Oryzias latipes: one gene and its partner. The protein of the gene in region 1 binds, or shares a complex with, the protein of each later gene. Links are inferred from orthologs where the notes say so. Each region holds a gene or a part of one and is shown on either strand. Other genes may lie near its edges.

Region 1 (10,830 bases):
AGACTTCAGATTTCAGCTCGGACGAGGAAAACCAAGATGTACATGGACCTAGTCCTCTACAAGTAGGGAGCCTCAGGCCTGCCCAGCGTATTTTCTATGTCACAAATATGCTCTTTTAAAGCATTTTTTTCATCTGCTCCTGATTCACGTTGATTTGAATAAGGGGAAACTCAGAAATGCTGTGTTAAGATTAATTTTCTTTATATATCTTGTCCATCATTACAAAAAGTAAAAACAACATGATAAAAACCTGATTTTCATAGGAGAGGGTCTTTAATCATCTTTTTACTGTAGGACAGACCAAGAAAACGGGACGAGTCACTCAGTGAGCCTTCAGTTTTTACAGTTCGGTGTCAGCTTGACTCAGCAGCAATCTGAGAAGCAGCCAACTCCCCGAAGAACAACAAAAAACAGCTGCAAATAATTAAATTAGTTACTGTTAAACGTGTGGACATGACAAGTCACGAAACTCATTAAAAAAAGCAAAATAAACACGATTCAAAATTGAATTTATCGAATAAAGTCTTGTTGAAACTGGCTTAAGTAAAAAAAAGTGCTGTAAATGTCATGTGTTGATAAAATATTCAGTCTGTCTGTTTGCACAGAGATTTTACTGCCTTCCTTGTTAAATATAGCACAGGGGAGTGTGAATAATTTAGCACGAGAGGGCTAAAGGACACCAGAACTTAAACACAATTATAAACTCACCTCTACAAGCTGAAAAAAACATCATGTCATTTAGCTGATTAGATCTTTTTCAAATTGTCTTCAATATTTTGATTTAGTCTACCTCTTTCTTTAAGTGCCTTCTCTTCTTAACAAGCAGAACTAGTAAAAAAAAAAAAGGATTCTGTTTGATGTCTTTGGGGTTGCATCTGCTTTTGAAAATAAAGATATACATTTTGGTTCAGATGATTCTCCTGTGAGCTCGAAGCTGGTCGGATCTGATTTTCCTCAGAATGTATCTCAGATCTTGTGCAGTCGGTTCTGTGCAGCTGCTGCACATCAAAGCCACTCAGAAATGGGTGGAGGCCTGGACTCACTGCTTATAGTGTCACATTTGATAACATGACTGGAACTAAATAAGGGACTTCCTGTCATTTGAGCAAATGCAGTCTCGTCCTGTAATTGAAGATTCAAATTGTAGTTGAAACTAATAAAATTAGGTTAACGTAAGTTTGTTTTTTGAGGGGTAAAGTAAATCTTATTTGATCATGTTTTAGTTTATCTAATTTTTCAATCACTCATCTGTTGTGATCAGATTTTCAGTATTTAGATATCCTAATTTGTGATGCATTTTGCTGTTTTTGGTATTAAAAGTAGTGCTCAATCATTTTGTCTGTGAATTCAAAATACTGTATATGAACTTTTGAGAACACAATAAGCCATACTTCCACATTCCAGGTTAGTGTCAGGTTTGAACTAAGCTACGCTTGTACCGCTGTATTATGTCTCATCAAATGGCCGATTATATGATTATAAAATGGATTTCTTAAAATAATTAAATTATCAGTCAGCTCCTATGCAAGCCCCAAACTCAGGACACAATCTGACTGCAACATTTCATTTCTTACACTAGAATGGAGGGTTTCTAAGTACAAGATTGAATGAAACAGATCTTTTTTGAAACAAGAGTTTGTTTCCTGCCAAAATAAGATGCATGGAAAAATCACAAAATCTCTTAAAAAGTAAGTTAAAGCCAATTACTCATAATTGTAAGGGATAAAATATTCTCTGGTCTCATTTGTTTCCTAATAAAAGTGTTTCTTTTCTGTGTTTTTGCGGTGAATAGCAACTGTTTTGTAATTACACTGGCCTAAAACGTTTTAGAATTTATTAGGTTTTAGTATTTCATTTATTTATAAAGGGAAAATGTTGTGTTTCCTGATATTTGTCAGCTAGAAATCATTTCATGAAGTTTATGGTGCTGGATGTACAAAACATGTAAATTATAATTAATTATAGGAAGATCAAAACCAGAAAGTCAATCAAATTGTTTTCAGTGTAGAAACAGCAGTAATATTTAATTGAAGGTTAAAGAAAAATTACGTTTTTTATTTTTTGAGATGGCAGGTGGTGGATTATGGGGGGGGGGCGTGGACTGCTCAGAAACCGAAGACTCTAGAGGGTCCGGACGGGACGGAGGACACTAAAAACAAAACCTTTAAAACTTTTTCTTTTAGTCACTTTCTGTTGAGTCTTTTTCAGAAGCGGATGTGCAAATGGGAGGTTTTCTCTGTAGTTGACTGTCAGAGTAAATGATTTTGTCATGACTTCCTATTTAGTCAAATAGATTAGTTCATCATAGATATTTGTGCTCATTTCTTTCGATCTATTGGCTCGTGTTTGTGAGGCCACAAAAGTTTAGTGCTGTAAATAATTGAAGGTTTTGGGTGAATTTTGATGAATGTCTTTTCTTCTGTCACACACAAACAAGCAGGCAACATGTTGAAGATCTCAAATGAAAAGCTTAAAGATGTCTTGTTGGCCTTCTTCAGAACACATTTCAAGGTTTTTAATGGTTTATTTTACTGTCAAAATGTTTTTTTTTGAAGTAGAAATAGATATAGACAGTTTTTTTTTTTACCTGTTATGATCTGCAACAGCTTTTTCTGAGAAACATTAAGGGTTGAGAGCAAAATCTGCAAAGACATGACAAAAATGACTGATACTAAATGTGATCAAATGTCTGTATGCGTTCCAGTTCCATCACAATGCTGCCTTTATGAGGACTCATTACCAAATATCTTCAGATTAAAAGCACTCAATAAACAGAAATGCTCACTAAAATGTCTGATTCCATGTAAAAAAAAGAGAAAAATGTTCTTATTTGAAGCCAAAGGTTTGCAAATCGATGTATTTGTTCATTTTTCTCAACAGTAACATCTCTTTTTTTTTAGCATTTATAAAGATTAAAGTTTGATGATGCTTACAAAACACTGGGATGTGACAGTAGGGAGGTCATGAGTCTCAGACAGAGTATTAAAATGTTTTCTTTGTTTCCAATACCAGCCATAAATCATCAACAGCTTGATCCTCTCTCAAGAGGAAAGCTCCCAAAGGAAAGTTAAGAACTCCAACAGGCTTATTTTATCCACAGATATGCATCAGAATATTTATTAAAATATGGAAATGATAAAATTTCATAGAGTGTCAGATGATTGTTTATTATTCTAGAGTTGAATCAGCACTAGAATTAGCTTATATCTTATATGCTTATATTTTTTCATTATTAGAAAACTGCTGACTTAGAATTTAAAAAATATGTTCATAAGATGAATTTGTGGTTATCTTTTAACAGCAAAACACTGTTAGATTGTGAAGCAGTTTTTTTTGTTTATTAGGAATAAATCAAAAGAGGGCCTTGAAGAGGAATGGGTGGGAATAAAGAAAACAAAGTCATGTCTAACCTTAGATCTTGGTGTTCAAAAACTTCAGTTAAGAGCAAAGGTTTTTTTGGGGGCGTCCCCCTTTCGTTGTGTTTTTAACTGTGACATCTGGTTGGCCCAAAGCAGCTTGTTGATGAGGAAAGATCTCTGATCATCAACTTGGGTCAGGTGGACGTCACATTCTTTTATAGTGGAGTTCTGTGACAACGCAGCCACCAAAGCCTCACCTCCAACCTGCAGACATGGGGTTAGAATACAAAAATATAAAACATAAGAAGACTAAAATTCACCTTTTGGTCATTTTTTCAGCTTAGTAAGTTTTAAAACTCGTCAACAGAACTTGTTTTTCTTTAAGCTGGAGTGGACCGAGGTCAGAAGTATTGATGGTTTCATTTCTGCTGTGTGAATGATTTTTGATCCACCAGATCACTTCAGTCACAGATACCACGAACTGTGGCAGCAGAGCTGCAGGGGATAGTTGTAAATCTATTTTTATGGGGGGAAAAAAACCCACTTCCTACTCTTTCCATTACTGCCTGTGTTCTGCAGACATCGATAAATAATTGAGAATCCTTGCAGCAACCCTGACTGTGTCAACAAAGGGAGCAGCAGAGTTTTGGGATGAACAAATTGAATCGTTTAGTTCAAAAGGGGTCCAAGTCCACAATTTTTCATAATAGAGATATTATATGTTCTACGGGCTTCAAAGAAAAAGTTATCTGAATTTTGTGCAAAAAAGTCCCAAGTCTGTTGTAATGTATGCTTGACATTTAAAATGCATTAAGTGCAAAATTCCTGGACTTGGGCCTCTCCTGCATGGGTTTTGTTTTATCCCATAGATGGCAGCACTAGTTATCCAATATGGCAGCGCCCCTGTTTAATTCAAGAAGAGCCAAAGTCCAGAGACTTTAGTTTGCTAGTCTTCTGAAATTATAAAAGTGAGGTGCTTCATATTATAGCATTTGAAGCTATGAACTGGTGCTTAATCTGGGTAAAATGTTAATCATTTGGTGTAGCCCCCCTTTAAGATATGCAATTCAAATCATTTCCTGGAAAAACAAACCTCTTGGACTTGGGCCCCTTTTGAACTAACCGATTCATTTATGTTCCAGTTAAAAGAAACAAACGTGGACATGTCCTTACCTCACAGAGCTGGTTGCAGGACAGATTAAGGCTTTGCAGAGTTGTATTCTCTGTGAGCACTTTAGACACAGCCTCAGCAGTGACTGAAGTCAGATAATTTCCTCCCAGGTTCAGATTGTGTAGAGTTGTGTTGTTCAGCAAAGCTTCGGCAATGGCCTGACCCCCTTCATCCTTTATCATATTCAGAAGCAGATTAAGGGACTCAAGAGTGCAGTTCTTAGATAAGGCCAGAGCTATGGCTTTGGCCCCCTGGCAGCTAATAAGGTTGTTGCACAAGTTAAGAGTCTGCAGTTTATTCCTGGTGAGCAGCTTGCTGATGGCCCTGGCTCCAACGTCTCCAATCTTGTTGTGACAAAAGTCGAGTTCTTCCAGGGAAGGGTGGTCCATGAGGTGTTTCACCAGCAGCTGACACTTTCTGTCATCCATGTGGCTTTGGTGGAGCCTGAAAAGCTTAATATTGAGGATAAATGACGACGGAATACAGAGGGAAACTTTTAGAGCCATCAAAATAAAAGCTTTAAAGTTAAGGATAAAAAGGATAATGACCAGATTTAAAGGATTAACACATTAAATCATTCAACTACGCAACAAGTTCATTCCAACAAACCTTTAAGATAGTAAAATTTGTAAAACACAAAGAATAACTGATACCTTCAGTGTCTTACAGGACTGAAGAGCCTTGGCGAGGGTCTCACAGTCTCTGTATGTCATCTCAAACATATTCCATGCAAAGTTCATGCCACATTGTTTGATTCTATAAACCAGGTGGAGCTCTTCCAGGTTTGTCAGCCTCTGAAGCAGGATGTTAAAGTCAAAGTGGTCCATGGGAGGCACATACCTCTTCCAATGAAAGTCATGATCATTCTCCTTGCTCTTCTTCTGAGGCTCCACGACAGGAACCAGGAGCTGTGAGATGTCCAGACGCTTGACGTATTTTTCACAAACTGATACGACATCAAGAACGGTCTGCGGGTCGGTTACATTTGGGATGAAAAGTTCAATGATCTTCTCCAAGTGCTTCTCCAAAAACATTCGTTTCCAGCTGTGGCCGTGAACAGAGACATCACAGAAGGCCAACTTCTGCTGGCAACAGCGCCTCCAGTAGGGCCCCTCAGGGAGCACGCTGGCTGTGACTTGGACAGGAAGGGAAAGGGACAGTCTCTCCTGCAGGAACTCCTTCTGGGCAGCTGTGAGCATCTCAAATATTGGGTTTCCTGTAACAAAGAGGAACTGTGCAGTCAAGTGGCTCCACTTTTTGCAAAAACCGAAGCTGCAGGAAAATTATACATACTTTCAAAGTTGTTCACAATGATTTGCAGGCAGAGAATGGATAAACTGGGCACTGTGGTGATAGACCAGTCTGGATCTTCAGCAATGATCCTCCTCCTCATGTTTATCTTTTATTTTTGTAGCTTTCAAACTGTCTCATACAAATCCTGTTAACAAACAATAAACATTTAAGAAGTAAACATCTTGGAAACTGGAGAAAGTAGCTAGCTAACGCTAAATAAATGGTCTATTGAATACTTCAGTTCAAAGAAGTAATTTGCGTAAATATGTCAAAAAGTATATTGACAAAAACCGCAAAGAATTATCTGAAGTGCATTTCAGTAAGATTAAAAAGATATTTAATCAAAAAGAAGACAAATAAACTCACGTTTACGAACGTAAACAAAGCCCCCCGTGTCCTGTTATGGAAACTTCCAGTCGTTGCCATGGAAATCGAATCATTCGTGTGTAGTTTGAGGCTTCAAGGAAATCTTAGCTTCAGCGTCACTAACTACAAACATAAAAATAATTCCCGTCGCTACTTTAAAATTATCAAGCAATTTACACAAAACATACCTTAAACGAGTCTATTAGCTGAAGATAATGAGAGTAGACTGAGATCATTCGAACTAGACTCACAACATTCGTTGTTATGGGATTTAAAAGTCGAATATGAACACCACAAACTAAAAGAAAAAGAACAACTCCGCCATACTTGAGGGTTCTCAAACCTCTGACGCGAGAACAGTAACTTCAAGTACTGCTGCTACAAGTGCTTTTAGCGTTATTGTTTTTCCTTTAAAATACACCAATTATTTTCTAATTCATTAATGGATTTAATTGATAAATATAGATTCACTTAAATATGTCAATTATACTTTGCACGGAATTGGCTCTTGGTTGATTAAAAATGTTTAAATATAATTCTGAAAGTTTTGAATTATTTTATATAATGTATTTTTGCTCAGAAAGAATAATTGCATAATCATTGTGCATCATTTTGTGTTCTTCAAACTGATGGCATGTTGTTTGGACTAAAACAGGTATGAAATATATAATAATAATAAAATATAAAAATGATCAAATATCAAATGTTGCCATTTAAATAAAAAAACAGCTACAACATTTATTCAGTTTTGAATGTTACACAAAATGATTTTAACTTTGTTTTAATCGTAAGAAGCACTTTAAATAATATAAATTGCATATGTATAGGAAAAAATATGTATTAACACATTATGTTCATATGAATCAAGTCGTGCACAAATTGATTAAATTTCAAATAATTACTGAATTCAGTTTTTATTTATAGATGTAATAAAACTAAAATAAATAAATTATGTACATAAATGAATCCTTAGTCATTTGAAAAGCAAAAACTGGTAATATTGACAATAGGGAGGGCTTGCATTAGGCCAAAATGAGATGATCTCAGAGAAAAGCACAGACTAATAAACTACCAGATGGGCCTTGGAAATGGATCATGTGCCTTTTGGATGAGAAATCACTTGAGTGAATCCATCTGTCATGTAAACAACAACATGAAGCAGGTGCTTAGCTCCATTTCAGGCGGGGAAAAATGCATACATGCTGAGTTTGTTCATAGAAAATACAGCTTTTTTTCTCATAAGAATTATTTATACACATAAACAAAGTTGGCAAAAAATGTTTTTGTTGTAGTCAAACAGTTCGAGAAAAGAGAATAACATTTGTAATTGCGAGAAATTATCCGGATAAAAATCAGGGGAAATTAAGGGTTAAGAAAAGAATGAAAATATCCACAAACATTAAAAGTTATCGTAAATAAACATTTTCTTAAAAATATAAAATTTCTTAAAACCTAATGGAAGATTTTTGGCTTTAGCACCCAAAGTTTCTTTTACAATAAAACTAGGGATGCCTTTTTAAATACAGACTGCTTTTCAAAGCGGAGAGAAATGAGGTGAATGCAGGATGCATCATGTGTATTTCTCATATTCAGGCACAGCAGTTGAGCCTGTTATTGGCATCATGAGCGCATGCAGAACTGATGCTGGGTCAGACGGAGTAATGAAGGGCTCCAACTGTAGCCTTGAGGCAGTCCATCACTGTCCTCCATGGGATATCAGGGGGGGCAGGAACGGCCTCCCCAGCACTGCAGCTTTAATGGCAGGGCATGACATCAAGAGGCAAACTCACACGGTGACGGCCGTCTTTGTGCGCTCAAATCAGTGAGTGGACTCACGTTTGTGTATCATTTTGTAACTTTAAAATTTGATTTATTTTTTCTGCTAGAATACATAAAAAATTAACCATTTTCGTATCAAGAACTGTTCTGAAAAATCTACTTTAGCGTAAATAGTGGGGTTTAAAATATGAGTCCCCCCCCCCACCATTCTGGCAATAAAATCTACTTTTCTAAATTCAGAAATGCACCACTTTAATATATATATATATATGTTTTTTTTCTTTATTTACTTTTTAAGCCTAGAAACGGAACCAGCTTGATTATAATAAAATAAATATAAATTAAAGATCTTGTTAAAGGACTAAAATATAAAAACTGTGTTTTTAAGCTATGTTTAAAGTTAAAATGAAAGCATTAAGTGGAATTAAAAACATGCCCATATGGAGGGATTATAATGCCATTATTGTGAGCGCAACAGCCACTGTTTTGATCATAAAATTTAAAAGTTTTGTGTGCTCAAAACAATAGTTTGCAATTGAAACAGAAAAATACACTTGAAACTTTAAACTATGTTCCAAATGTGCCACAAAAGCCAGCCAATCACAGACATGGGCGTGAAAGGGTGATGTCTGTGATTGGCTGGCTTTTGTGGCACGTATGTCAGACGGTGCTCTGGATTGAGAATTGTCCCCCCCCCATATTTTTGAGTTTCTAGTTCGTTTTTCTGTTTCAAGTGCGAAATATTTTTTTTTTAGCACAATTTTTTTTAAGTTTTACGCTAAAAAATGTGAAAGTTACAGTTGGAATAATGGCACAAAAACCACTCCATACGCCCATGCTGTGTCTGTTAGTTGGGAACATTTCTAGTAGAAAAATCACAAAGTCTGTGTGTTTGAATACTTTAAGCTACTAATCGAAGCGAAGATTTTAAATATCAACCCAGAACACGTAGAAAAAAGCAACATGAAAGAGTTGAAAACTTGTAAAGATAATGGTAAAAGTAATCAGGAAGAAACTTTAATCTTTTCACTGAAAAACAAGTACACTACACAAATAATAACTTTACAAAAAGAAAACATAAGGAAGTTTTCCTCATGATGAGACCAAAGTGTTCTTAGTGTAAACTAAAGATCCCGAGGGCTTTTCTTGTTGGAGGGCTTTGCGAGTCCGTTTTTTGCCTTCCGATTGAGAGTTAATCTTCAAGGTCATCTGAGATCTCAAACTCTAAATGGTCGCTGCTTTCTGTGTCCACAGTGAACACAGAGCTGAGGCTGCTAAAAATGGACAGCATGCTTCCATCGCTCTCGACGGTGCTGCTGCTGCTGCCGTCGCTGCTGCTGTCGTCATCGTGGATCACCATCACCTCTGCGGCGTTGGCGGCTGGAAAACAGAAACGCAGAGTGAGCCGCCCTTTCTTCCTGGAGAAACTCCACTGACATACGCAGCACTAATACGCCCGGCTAACAGAACAGAAGATGAAACATATTGTATTGTCATCTTGTGTAACGGAGGGTCTCTCGGCAGATCCCCTCTGGTGACACCATGACATGTTATTAGAAAGCCTCCCAGCAGCTTCCCAGCATTCCCTGAGGTTTGGACCCTTCAGCACTTTCTGCTGCTTTTGAGCAAAGGGTCACTGAATGGACTCTAGTCACAAAAGTTGATATTTTTAGACATTAAACCCTAAAACCAGGAGATAGTCCACTCGTGACAGAATGAAGGGAATGATTTCCAAGTTGTTTCAGGAACTTGTGCTCTTTAACACATCTGAATAGATCAATACATTTGAGTTTCTACCTGGGATGCACTCCGGTGAAAATCATGTTTGTAGTGTTTTTAACATGTTATTGAGGCATTTTTCTCATGAGGGAGGACATACACTAAGAAAATCAATTTTGAGCTGGCATTGGTTCTAAACTGTACGGCTGGGTAGCTCCGATATTGCTGCAAGGTACCAGGAGAGTGTGTTAACAGATGAAAGTGCGGGCGGGGTTACTCTGCGCTGATGGTCCCTCCCACATCTCTAATTTCTAATGAAAACAACAGATTTATTTTTTTATTTGGCTAAAAATGACCGTCATGATTAAAGACCAATAGGAATTCTTTGAAACTAGATGAAAAGATGATCAAAGCCTAAGTCACATGACCCGTACGGGTGCTGCAGGTCTTTGGGTTGTCTGGGCCCGTGGGGGGTCGTAGAGAGGCGTGGCTGCCTCTTAAGGGGGGGGTACAGGTGTGGGTTGTAGTTCCCTTAAAACTCATAGGGTCCCCTCAAGAGACGTCATGAAAATGGAACGTACCAATGTCGTGCTTGTGGTAAGTGTTTTGTGGGAATAATGTAGTGTAAGATGAACACTTGTATTTTTAGGATTTGACCAAATCTCTTCTCACGATGAGCTATTTTCCTTCATGGCGTCATAAGGAAAGGCTCCATTCACACAACGCTGTTACTGTGACCCCGCCCACCTATATCAGTACTGTCACTTTTCCACTTGGTGATGGCACAGTTGTTGAAGAGGATATTTCAAATTGGCTTTTCTCGTCATAAAGGTTGCTGTCCCCTACTGTAGTCCTTAGTAATAATAATACATTTTATTTATATGGTGCCTTTCTAGACACTCAAGGTCGCCTCACAGTACAAAATTATGTAAAATCATAAAAATATAACAACAAAACGCCACAAAACACAAAATAAGTTAACAGTTAAATCAGCAGTTTAAATATTATGAATCCAAGGCAAAAAGGTGAGTTTTGAGATGTTTGGAAAACAGAGAGATGGTCCATATTTTGTAGATCAGAGGGGAGGGAGTTCCAGAATTGCGGGGCTGAGCTGTTAGCAAGGATCGAGGACTGGCTCCTTAC
Region 2 (10,564 bases), on another chromosome or scaffold:
CATTATTCTTTTTAGTCTTTAGTGTTTAATGGTAATATTGTCAGACTTCAGTCAGCACACAGACTGAGTCAGTAGCTACAATCTTGTCTCTCTTGAACTTTGGTTGCTCTTGTACTATAAAACTGTTGGGAATTTTATACAGACACATTTCTCTGAACTTTGACTCTTCCTAATGTTTCTTTCTTTTATGTTTCTTATTTAAAGCAAGCCATTATTTCACAATAAAGTTAATGTTTCACTTTAAATGGAGAACAAATAAGAAACAAATTCTTTTGACTGTAGCTTCTTCCTCAATCCTCAATGCTCTCTCTTGGTCACATGCGTGTAAGATTTGGATTAATCTACAGAATTTTCTGTTTGATACTTTTAAGATTTTTTTTTTGTAAAAATAAAAACCGTGCTGTGTGTCGCCACAGATTGTTGCAGAGTTACATTCAGCCTATTCTGAAAAACCACCAAGGAGGACCAGAGATCACTTCCTGGGAACAAGGTACTCTGTTTATTCTAATGCAGAGCTGAGAGATAATTGTTTATTTGTTTTCCCAAAAGTGTACAGTTGACATTTATTTCCCATTCAATCACTTTGACAAAAATGTTAAAAAGCAGCTCATTTTTCAACCTTGATTTATTTTTGTTGTTTTGTCAGTGCTAACTAAAACAGATCCTTTTGAGTTGTGGCAGCTTGACTTGCATCTAAAGAGCTGATCGCATGTTTAAGAGAAAATGCTGGAGTTTCAATCACAACCCTTAAGAGATAATTATATTAAGAAATAATAATTTTAACAACCAATAAACATGTTAAAAACCTGCAGAAGATGAGCTTAGATCACAATACAGAAGGTAACTTTTCACATAAGTCGTTTTAGCTTCTGGAAGGATGAAAAATGTGTCATAAATAGAAGATTTTTGTTTCTTGACTCTAGTTTATAACTGTTCATCATTTAAACCTCACAGCCTTCAGATGAATACGTTGATCTCTTATAACAAGCAAACCTCATGACTTCTTGTAGGAGACAACAGTTGGGTTCCTTATATGGTCATATGTACTATGGCCTCCATATTGCATCTCAATTCCAGCAAAGTAAAAATTGTTCAGGTTCGTGGGTTTTCAGACGACAAAACTGCTCCATGCTTTCATCACCAAAGCTCAGAGATTGTGTTTTTTTTTTTTTTAAAGTGTCAGATGAGTTTGGCATCCAGCGTCTCTCATAGTGTTCTTTTTTTGCTTCAGAGGTTTTCTTCCTGTTCCGTCTGTATGACTTTGATCGCAGTGGGTTCTTGGATGGTTTGGAGATGATGAAGCTGCTCTCTGACTACAGCAAACATCATTCAGGTCAAGCGGATGCCAGCGAGCTGGTGAGCTGGAGTGACTTTGTGTAAATCAGGGGTCTGCAACCTTTAACCCTATAATAGAACCATTTGGTCCAGTTTCTTGAACGCCAATGAGAGCCACAAAGTCCCTCTGCACTGTTTAGAACAGGGGTGTCAAACTCATTTTCACTGAGGGCCACATCAGCATAGTGGCTGTCCTCAAAGGGCCAGATATAACTTATACATGTAACTAAATGTAATGAAAAATAAATGTAAATACTCCTTAATGTTAAATAACTCATCATTTATTTATTATAACTTTTTAAAGTGACAATTACAGTTGCATAGAAAACATATGTTTGCTTGTTATTCTAGCATAAATCCTTTTGAGTTTTGTAAGCTTATTAAAACCCACATAACTCCATTAATGAAGGATCAAACTGAAAAAGAAATTTGACACATGTAAAAAAATACACTTGATTTATGTTTTTGTGACCATTAAATTTTAGATAGTGATAAAAATTGAATTGTAAAAGTTTTATAATTTTTTGTATATCATTTCTTACTTTTGACACCAGCACAAACAAGTTCCATTCAAAATAAAATACATCCTTTATTAAATAAGATCCTTCTGCGGCAGCAGATTTATTTGAATAAAAAATGTAAGAAAGTCAATCAAACATGAACTTTTCTATCATTATGACTTTGGTGAACTTTCATCCTTTCTCTCCTTTTACTATTAAATATAAACATCACAACATCCAATTTTAAAAAGCCTATGTGAGCTTTAAAATGATTCTAATAACAAACGCCTCTCACGAAACCTTTTCCCATCATTATTTTAAAAATCTAAAAATAAATGAAATAAACTATATTAACTAAAACAAATCAATCACAACTACAAAAAAATATTTTTATTCAAATCGTTAGCATTTTTCTTCAAAGCCAAAGAGCCACAATGGAGGGATAAAGGAGCCTTATGTGGGTACGGAACCTCAGGTTGTGGACCCCTGGATTAGTTGGTGTTTTAGAGCTGTCATTGTATTTGGGTGTAGTTTCCTTTCTGACCACATATTTGCATCCCTTTGGGTGGTTTAGATAGTGTCTACGGTGGATTTCTTACTCCAGACTCAGGATTTGAACCATGATGGGCTGCTGGACCCCTCTGAGTTGCTGTCTCCACTCACTCACACACAGGTACTTCCAGATCAACACACATTTTGTTTTGGTTTTTAAAATGATACACCATTTTGTTTGTTTTGGCAATGACTTTATATGACACTTGCTACCTCAAAGGGCTCACAGATCAACCAGATACCTCAAACGAAGCAGGAGGTGGTTGTGGAGAACAGGCAATCAGCCATCATCACAGAGGAGCAAAATGCAGGAGCAGTGGACAACAAACAGCAAGAGGATCCTCGGGAAGACTTTCACCCTCAAGAGGAGGAAATACAAAATCAGGAAACACAGGCGGACAAAGACATACAACAAATAGATAAATATAATCAACAACAAATTGAGGACGCCCCTGTAGAAGAACAGGAAGGAGTCCCTGTACACCAGGGACAACCAGAAATATGAAACTCTATGAAAATGTTCTTCTTGGGAAGATTTCCTCCTCCCTTATCCCAAAAAAAGGGCTTTATTGGTTCTGAGGACTCACTGTCCACTCTAAGCTGTCAAACGTGTGCCAGACAATGAAAAGTCATCTTTTGCTTTCCATGCATGATGTTGTTCCTATAACTTTTAATTTCTAAAAGTTAAAACACCCCACAGGAGCATTGAAATCTATCATTATCATTATTGCACATTTTCTGGTAAGATTTGATGCTTTATTTATTCATCATTTGTCTCACTAGTAAATCTCTGGTCATACTTTTCATACACGGTGTTTTCACTGTGCAGTACACAACAGTAGTTTCCTAATCATTACTACATTTTGATGATAACTTGTCTCGGTAATATCCAGCATAAATGCAGCCAGAATGCACTGTAGTCTCTGCATGCCTTCAAGCATCTGTAAGGAATCTACTCAGGTGATATTTATACTGATGTGCTTTTCCTGATTCAATGTGTGGCACAAAAATTCATGTTTCCCTTGATAAAATGATAATAGACTTCAAAGAATAAATAAAAAAATGAAATCAGATTGCCCCAATAATATATTCATTCATTCATTCATTCATTCATTCATTCATTCATTCATTCATTCATCTTCTAATCCATTTGTTCCCTTTTGGGGTAACAGGGCTGCCTGAGCCTATCCCGACTGTAATAATACAATTTTACTAAATATCCAGTGGGGCAAAAAAGTATTTATTCAGCCACCAATAGTGCAAGTTCTCCCACTTAAAAAGATAAGAGAGGCCTGTAATTTTCTTCATAGATATACCTAAACTATGAGAGACAAAATAAAATAAAAAATTCTGAAAAATCCCAGTCTGATTTTCAAAGAACTTATTTGTAAATTATGGTGTATAGTAAGTATTTGGTCAACAACCCAAGTTCAACTCAATACTTTGTTATACATATACCTTTGTTGGCAGTGACAGCAGGCAAATGTTTTCTGTAGGTCTTCACAAGGTTTTCACAAACCGTTGCTGGTATTTTGGAATGTTCCTCCATGCAGATCTCCTCTAGAGCCGGGATGTTTTGGGGCTGTCGCTGGGCAAAACAGACTTTCAACTCCCTCCAAAGAATTTCTATGAGGTTGAGATCTGGAGACTGGCAAGGCCACTCCAGGACCTTGAAATGCTTCTTAAAAAGTCATTCTTTTGTTACCCAGGCAGTATGTTTGGAGTCGTTGTCATCCTGAAAGACCCAGCCATGTTTCATCTTCATTGCCTTTGTTTATGGAAGGAGGTTTTCACTCAAAATCTGACAATGCATGGCCTCATTAAAATTTTCCTTTACACGGATCAGCAGTACCTTTGCTGAGAAACAGCCCCAAATCATGAGGTTTCCACCCCCATGCTTTACAGCAGGTACGGTGTTCTTTGGATGCAACTCAGTATTCTTTCTCCTCCAAACACGACGAGTATCGATCTTACCAAAAAGTTTTATTTATTTCATCTGACCATAGGACATTCTCCCAGTCCTCTTCTGAATAATCTTATCATCTTAATTCTCTCTAGCAAACATGTACTGTCTTTAGCAAGGGGATATGTCTGGGACTGCAGGATTTGAGTCCCTGGCGGCGTAGTGTGTTACAGATGTAGTCTTTGTTACTTTAGTCCCAGCTCTCTGCACGTCATTCACTAGGTCTAATTGTGTGGTTGTGTGGTTGTGTATTTTTGCTCATTGTGATCATTCCGACCCCACGGGGGGAGAACATCTTCCAGGGAGCCCCAGAGGGAGGTAGATTATCAGTGGTCTTGTATGTCTTCCATTTCCTAATAATTGCTCCCACAGTTGATTTCTTCACAGCAAGCTGCTTACCTTTAGCGGATTCAGTCTTCCCAGCCTGGTGCAGGTCAACATTTTTGTTTCTGGTGTCCTTAGACAGCTTAAGGTTGTGTACTGGTGTATTTTCTATAGACAAGCATACATTTTCAGACAACCATCAAACAGGTGCCAGTAATTAAGGTGACGAGTGGCAGACAGAGGATCCTCTTACAGAAGAAGTTCCAGGTCTATGAGAGCCAGAAATCTTGCCTGTTTGTAGGTGACCAAATTCTTATTTTCCACCATAATTTGAGAAAAAAGTTCTTTAAAAGTCAGACGCTGTGATTTCCTGGAATTGTTTTCTTATTATGTCTCTCATAGTTGAGGTATAATGACAAGTACAGGCCTTTCTCATCTTTTTAAGTAGTAAAACTTTGGCACCATTGGTGACTGACTAAATACTTTTTTGCCCCACTGTAAGCTTTTTCAGATAAAGTTTTAGACTTGATGAGTTGGAAAAATTATTTATCCAATATGCAAACAGATATCATTATAGGTCATTAAGTGTCTCAGAATTAATTAGGTTATTAAGGAAACAGTACATTTTTTTTGTTGGTAAAAGAATATTAAGTAGGGTGTCACTCGGTTGCTAAGCAACACGACAACACCAGGCAGACATGGCGGAAGCCGGTGAAACAGCAGGTCAGTCAGAGTTTCTTTACTGGTTTAAAATTTGTTTAGTTTTTGTTATTACAATTCATTTATTTTTTTCAATATATAAATTAGATGAATACAGTCTATTTGTGCTTTGGTTATCAGAAATCCAGAGGAAAATCCGCGCAGCCTTTCACGTGTTTGACCACAAAGCTGACAACACCGTGGACGTCCGGTGAGCTTTAAAGATCCCAAACTTATTTCATTAACTCAAACAAGTCAAGAGTAACTCAGCGCCCACTCCGAAAATGTTGTTTTGCAGTGAGGTCAGCACCATCATCTATTCGCTGGGATGTTTCCCCACCAAAGCAGACATCCATCGCTTCGTGGATGAGGTCAGTAAGTTCCGCCCTCCTCGCAGGCGGGCAAAATAGTGTGCCATTTGCTTCTTCTAGACCTTCCTACAAGTACAACAAACTTTTACTTTGAAATTTCTTTTCTTTTTTTTTTTTTTGCGCATCTCTCCGTGCGCTTTTTTTTCTCTCCATCTGTTTCTGTCCATATCTGGACAGCTGGAGCCTTCACCCCCTTCTTGTACCTCCTCATTCAGGAGCGTTTGGCCATCATTGGAGCAGCAAATATAGGATGATTAGGTGTCGCGTGGTCTGACTGTAACGTCGTATCGCTGATTTTACAGAAAATATATGTTGACCCGCAGAATCAACTTAAGAGCTAATTTTTTTTTGATTCAGCCGCTTTTGTATCAATTCTTTATTCTCTGTTGCATTGTTTTAACCTAAAAACTTTAGTGCGTGCCGAATCCTTGTTTTACGCGCTTTGCGCATGTTGATCATTGCGCAGCAGCAGTCCAAGAGAATCACAAAAATAAATAAAAATAAGCATTGATGAAAAGCACGGACCGTCTATTTGCGCAACTTCTCACTCTTTTAGTCAGTCAGGCCTTGATTTCAGGCTTATTTGCTGTATTGCCACGGTTGGTACAATGACTTCAGTAGTGTAATTTATTTTATATAAAAAAGATGTAAAAACGAAAGATAAAACATTTAAATGACTGTTGAAAGGGCCTCACACACTTATGTGCCCAGGGCCCCCCCTGCAGTTTAATTTTGCCTCATATAGATTGTTGTAATATATTTTAAAGCCACATTTTGCCACACCTTCAAAATAGTCAGCATATAAATAGCATTCAATTCTTTAACAATAGTTAGAACTGAAGAATCTACTGGCAGAAATGTCTTCCGGATAAACCTTAAAAGTCCAGTTACCCTGAAGAACTGTGTCATCCTGCCATAACATTTATGATTGAAAAATCTTCACAGATGTAAAACACCACATTCAGAACATTTAAAAAATACATATAAATTTGTTATAATTACATTTGATTAACTCTGATTAACTCTCTTGTTTTGTAACATCTTTCAGAACTTTTGTCACAAAATTCTGTTCACACAGGTGGAGGAGGACAATATGGGATATGTTCACTTGGACAAGTTCCTACCAGTCATGACCAAAGTAATAATGGAGAACAAGTAAGAAAGTTCTGCTTTCTACATTATTTTCCAGTCACATTTTAAATTCATTCAACTTTTTTTGTCTGCTTCAGAAAAGAAAAAACAGTGGAAAAACACACTCATGTTAGCCTTTCTGTACAGCTGACACAATTTTTTTATGATGATAAATAAAACTGTCATTTATCACCTAGCATGCTGCAGATAATGTACTAGAGAGACCCAATGGCAAGGCGGTTCAGACTTTACTAAAAACACTGTAAACAAAAAAATATGTGATCTCCTTCAATACGAGATTTGGAAACATCTTCTTGTGCTGTTGGGTTGAATAAATTCAACATTTGAACCCACTTTTCATTGTATGTGGTGTTGTATTGCATGAGCAACTTGGAGTTTGACACCTTTATCTGAGAGCAACTGATCCCCTCATTATCACTCCTCAGCATTCAGCATTGCATGGTCAATGACTCTGCCTCAAAAAGATCTTCATTACACTATAGTTGCCATGCCATTACATTCTGAGACTAACTGGGACCTCCTGTTTACTTTGGAAAATTGTGCAAAGCTCTATTTGTAAACGGGAAAAATAATCTTTATTTTTAATTCTGTTTGTTAGGTTTCCTCCCATTCCTGAAGAGCATTTGCGTCAGGCGTTTGAGGTGAGAGGACACCCAGTTTCACTGTATCGCCAAGACCCATAGTTCACGATCTCCGTCCACTAAGGGGAATGACAGTCTCACGTCTTTGTCTGATGACTGCACATAACTTTCTTCAGCTTTACCTGCAGCCACAGTAAAGGAAAGAAAATTAATGGTAAAACTTCCTTAAGGCCCTGGTAAAGTTTGCATGTTCCCCTGGTGATTGCTTTGTTTCCCTGGGCACTCCAGCTTCCTCCCAAAGTCCAAAAACATGCTTCACAGGATAATTGAAGATTCAATTATCCTGTGTCAAAGCTGGGTAGGCTCCCGTGATCCCAACTGGGAATAGCAGGATTAGAAGATGGATGGAAAGTATGGTTGAGTTTTTACTTGAGATCTCTGTTGGTAGATTGTATCCTACCTCACGTCACCACAGACTATAAAACCTCAAAGGATTCCTGAGGCAGCAACGATCACATTTTATTTGACCTGCATTTTAAAAGAGTTCCAGCATCGTTTTCATGTCTAATCATCCATAATTGTTACTGTGTATTTCCTGAAATAATGTAAGTCACGATTCACTTGGTTAACTCTTCAAGTTTCCATTAAAGCTAATTTTCATTAACCTACCTATTACATAAATGTTTTAAACTGAAGAAATGTGAAACTTTAATCTTCAAATGACATTTGTCTTCTTCCCCAAGAGGACACGCTGTAAACCTTTTCTTCTTTAGAACATGTTTTTTTCAGTTCTCGCGCATTTTCAGGGATGCAAGGCAAAGTGATTCCGTGGTTCCTGTGACTGACGTGTTTCTTGATTTTTCTATTTAATCGAGAATACAAACTTTTGTTAAAATTGATATACTGTATTATAAACCTCAAGGAGATAATTTAACATTGAGCATAATGTTACCTTATTACCTTGCTTCAATGTTCATTAAACCAGAAATGCATTATGATTCCAGGTTTTAGACAAAGACAGGAGGGGATACATGGAACCACAAGAGCTCGCAAAATACATGAAAAGTGAAGGTAAAGCAGAAGCTTTGAAGTAGTTTGTGAGCTGGAAAACAACAAATTAATGGATCAATGTTTAATATTTTCATTCAATGCTTGTGTTCAACAGGTGAGGCCTTCAGTCAGGAAGAGACCAATGAAATGCTGACAGCACTGGTTGATGAAAAAAAGAACCTTATCTGCTACAAGGAGTTAATCAATCAGCTGACCATTGACCCCGACACGTAGGCAGTCATTCCTCATTTCTCAGCATATCTGCTGAAAAACAGTGTGTTTGGGCCAAAATACAAATAAATATTAATTTTTGTTTTTTCTGTATTGCTGTCAAACTTCAGAAATTATTCAAAATGTTTATTTTTAACAGATCTTGGAAGTTTAAATTGATTTGAAAGGTTAAAAAGAGGGCCATGATGAATTAACAAGTTCCAAAAATAGAGAAGCAAACGTTTAAAGAGATGTAGAAATAATGATAGGGATTAAATTTGCAACGAAGATGGAAACTCTGTGGCTTGTGTGCAACAGAACGTGAAGCTTAGGTTGAAAGAAAAAAAAACTAAACTTTGTAATCAAAATGCAAAGATTGGTGTTAAAATGATGACATTTTCTTCAATAACAGAGTTCTAGCAGAATGGAACAAAAAACAAAAAAAAAGCAGTGACTTTTGCTGAGCATAGCACTTTATCTGAGGTGATTTTCATGATTAACATGATTCCAACATTTACAAGACCGTCAGAAAACAGGGGTTATTTGATGTACAGGAAAGTCTGAGAAGTCTAGTAACAAATTCCAGCAAATCCCTCTATGTTCATGATTTTAGTGTACAGTACAATTTAATGTCAAAATAAACACAAATCTAATAACCGTTTAAGACCAGAGAGCTCAAGAGATAAAACATACGTCTACTGGGACAGGTTTTATCGTTTGGGTTTCAAACAGAAACAAACAGAATAAGGCTCAAATAGCTTGCAGATGCAGTCTTTATGAGGGCACAATTATTTAAGGAAAAAATGGTCAACTTGACTATTGTAGTTCTGGAAACAGGCCCAACTGGATTGATGATGGAATGTTTATTTGTATAAAGAGGGGGAGGCACAGTTGAAATGTGCTAAAGTCAGCATTTAAATACAGATTTGAAACAAAATCAATCAAAAAAGAATCACAGTTGTAAAAAAAAAAAAAGTCAGATAAGCACAACAGTTCTGTTGCAAAGGAGATTCAATTGTAAATAAGACGACTCAAGTGTGGCCTGGTGGAACATGGAAATATGGAGATCCAGGCGGATCTCCATGTTTCACAAAGATTCAAGAGTCAAATGATGACTTCAAGTAAAAATGACAGAAAAGCAGCCCGTTTTCCAGCAAATCCAACTAAATGTTCATTTCAGGTGAAAAACTGACAAAAGGGAAAGAAGTCAGAGTGAGAGAGCAGCTGACGGAAAATTGAATAAACAATGACATCAGAATCAGCTCCCTGCAGTGGTCTCTCTGCATTATTGCACACAACTTCAACGCAGAGATTTACACCCAACACTAACACGCCCACAATATTATGCACACGCTTCACATATAGCAGGAAAAACAGGAAATTTCCACCATGTTCCTCCTTTCTTTCAGAGAAAGGGCTCAAGATCAGGAAAGAGGATGATCTTTAGGTCAAAGCGTTCTGATCAGTTGAAGCTTAGTGGGATTCAAAAAAGAACAAGCTCATAGATAAATGAGGTCAAAGGGTTGTTCAAAACCTGATATGCATGACGCCAAGAAACACTGGATTCAGTCATTTCTGAGGCCTTGTTGCATAGCTGCAGCCCACGTTTAAAGAGTGGGAGGATAATTGATCTCAAAGGAGAAGTTGTGCAAAAATTACTAAAAAAGAAAACCACACACACACACAAAAAGAACCACACAGGGCACATGTTGGCCCAATAAAACAACCTATAACTTGTGCCCAATGTTACCCCAAACCTCAGCCCTCCTTTATATCATCCTGACCAAAGTTTACATTTTTAAGGTGTCAGAGAAATATAAAAAGATA

The links.
Region 2: tcte1 (region 1) and efcab2 share a complex: the UniProt entries of both Homo sapiens proteins name them as parts of the nexin-dynein regulatory complex. The link is inferred for Oryzias latipes from reciprocal best matches to the Homo sapiens genes DRC5 and DRC8.

The regions. Positions count from the first base shown.
Region 1 is NC_019882.2:5,917,908-5,928,737, forward strand, and holds tcte1 (T-complex-associated testis-expressed protein 1), read right to left. Parts: upstream 6,278-10,830; 5' UTR 6,190-6,277; intron 6,040-6,189; exon of another isoform or gene 5,969-6,039; 5' UTR 5,924-5,968; coding exon 5,824-5,923; intron 5,747-5,823; coding exon 5,184-5,746; intron 4,983-5,183; coding exon 4,533-4,982; intron 3,624-4,532; coding exon 3,435-3,623; 3' UTR 3,411-3,434; exon of another isoform or gene 3,312-3,410; intron 2,788-3,311; exon of another isoform or gene 2,643-2,787; 3' UTR 2,538-2,642; downstream 1-2,537. Other genes in the region: E3 ubiquitin-protein ligase RNF8, read right to left, coding at 9,161-9,348. UniProt on the Homo sapiens protein: Component of the nexin-dynein regulatory complex (N-DRC) a key regulator of ciliary/flagellar motility which maintains the alignment and integrity of the distal axoneme and regulates microtubule sliding in motile axonemes.
Region 2 is NC_019861.2:24,637,772-24,648,335, forward strand, and holds efcab2 (EF-hand calcium-binding domain-containing protein 2), read left to right. Parts: upstream 1-5,060; 5' UTR 5,061-5,372; coding exon 5,373-5,397; intron 5,398-5,514; coding exon 5,515-5,584; intron 5,585-5,671; coding exon 5,672-5,744; intron 5,745-6,822; coding exon 6,823-6,899; intron 6,900-7,494; coding exon 7,495-7,537; intron 7,538-8,481; coding exon 8,482-8,548; intron 8,549-8,642; coding exon 8,643-8,761; 3' UTR 8,762-8,851; downstream 8,852-10,564. Other genes in the region: cgref1 (cell growth regulator with EF hand domain protein 1), read left to right, coding at 417-490, 1,232-1,356, 2,410-2,508, 2,608-2,892. UniProt on the Homo sapiens protein: Component of the nexin-dynein regulatory complex (N-DRC), a key regulator of ciliary/flagellar motility which maintains the alignment and integrity of the distal axoneme and regulates microtubule sliding in motile axonemes.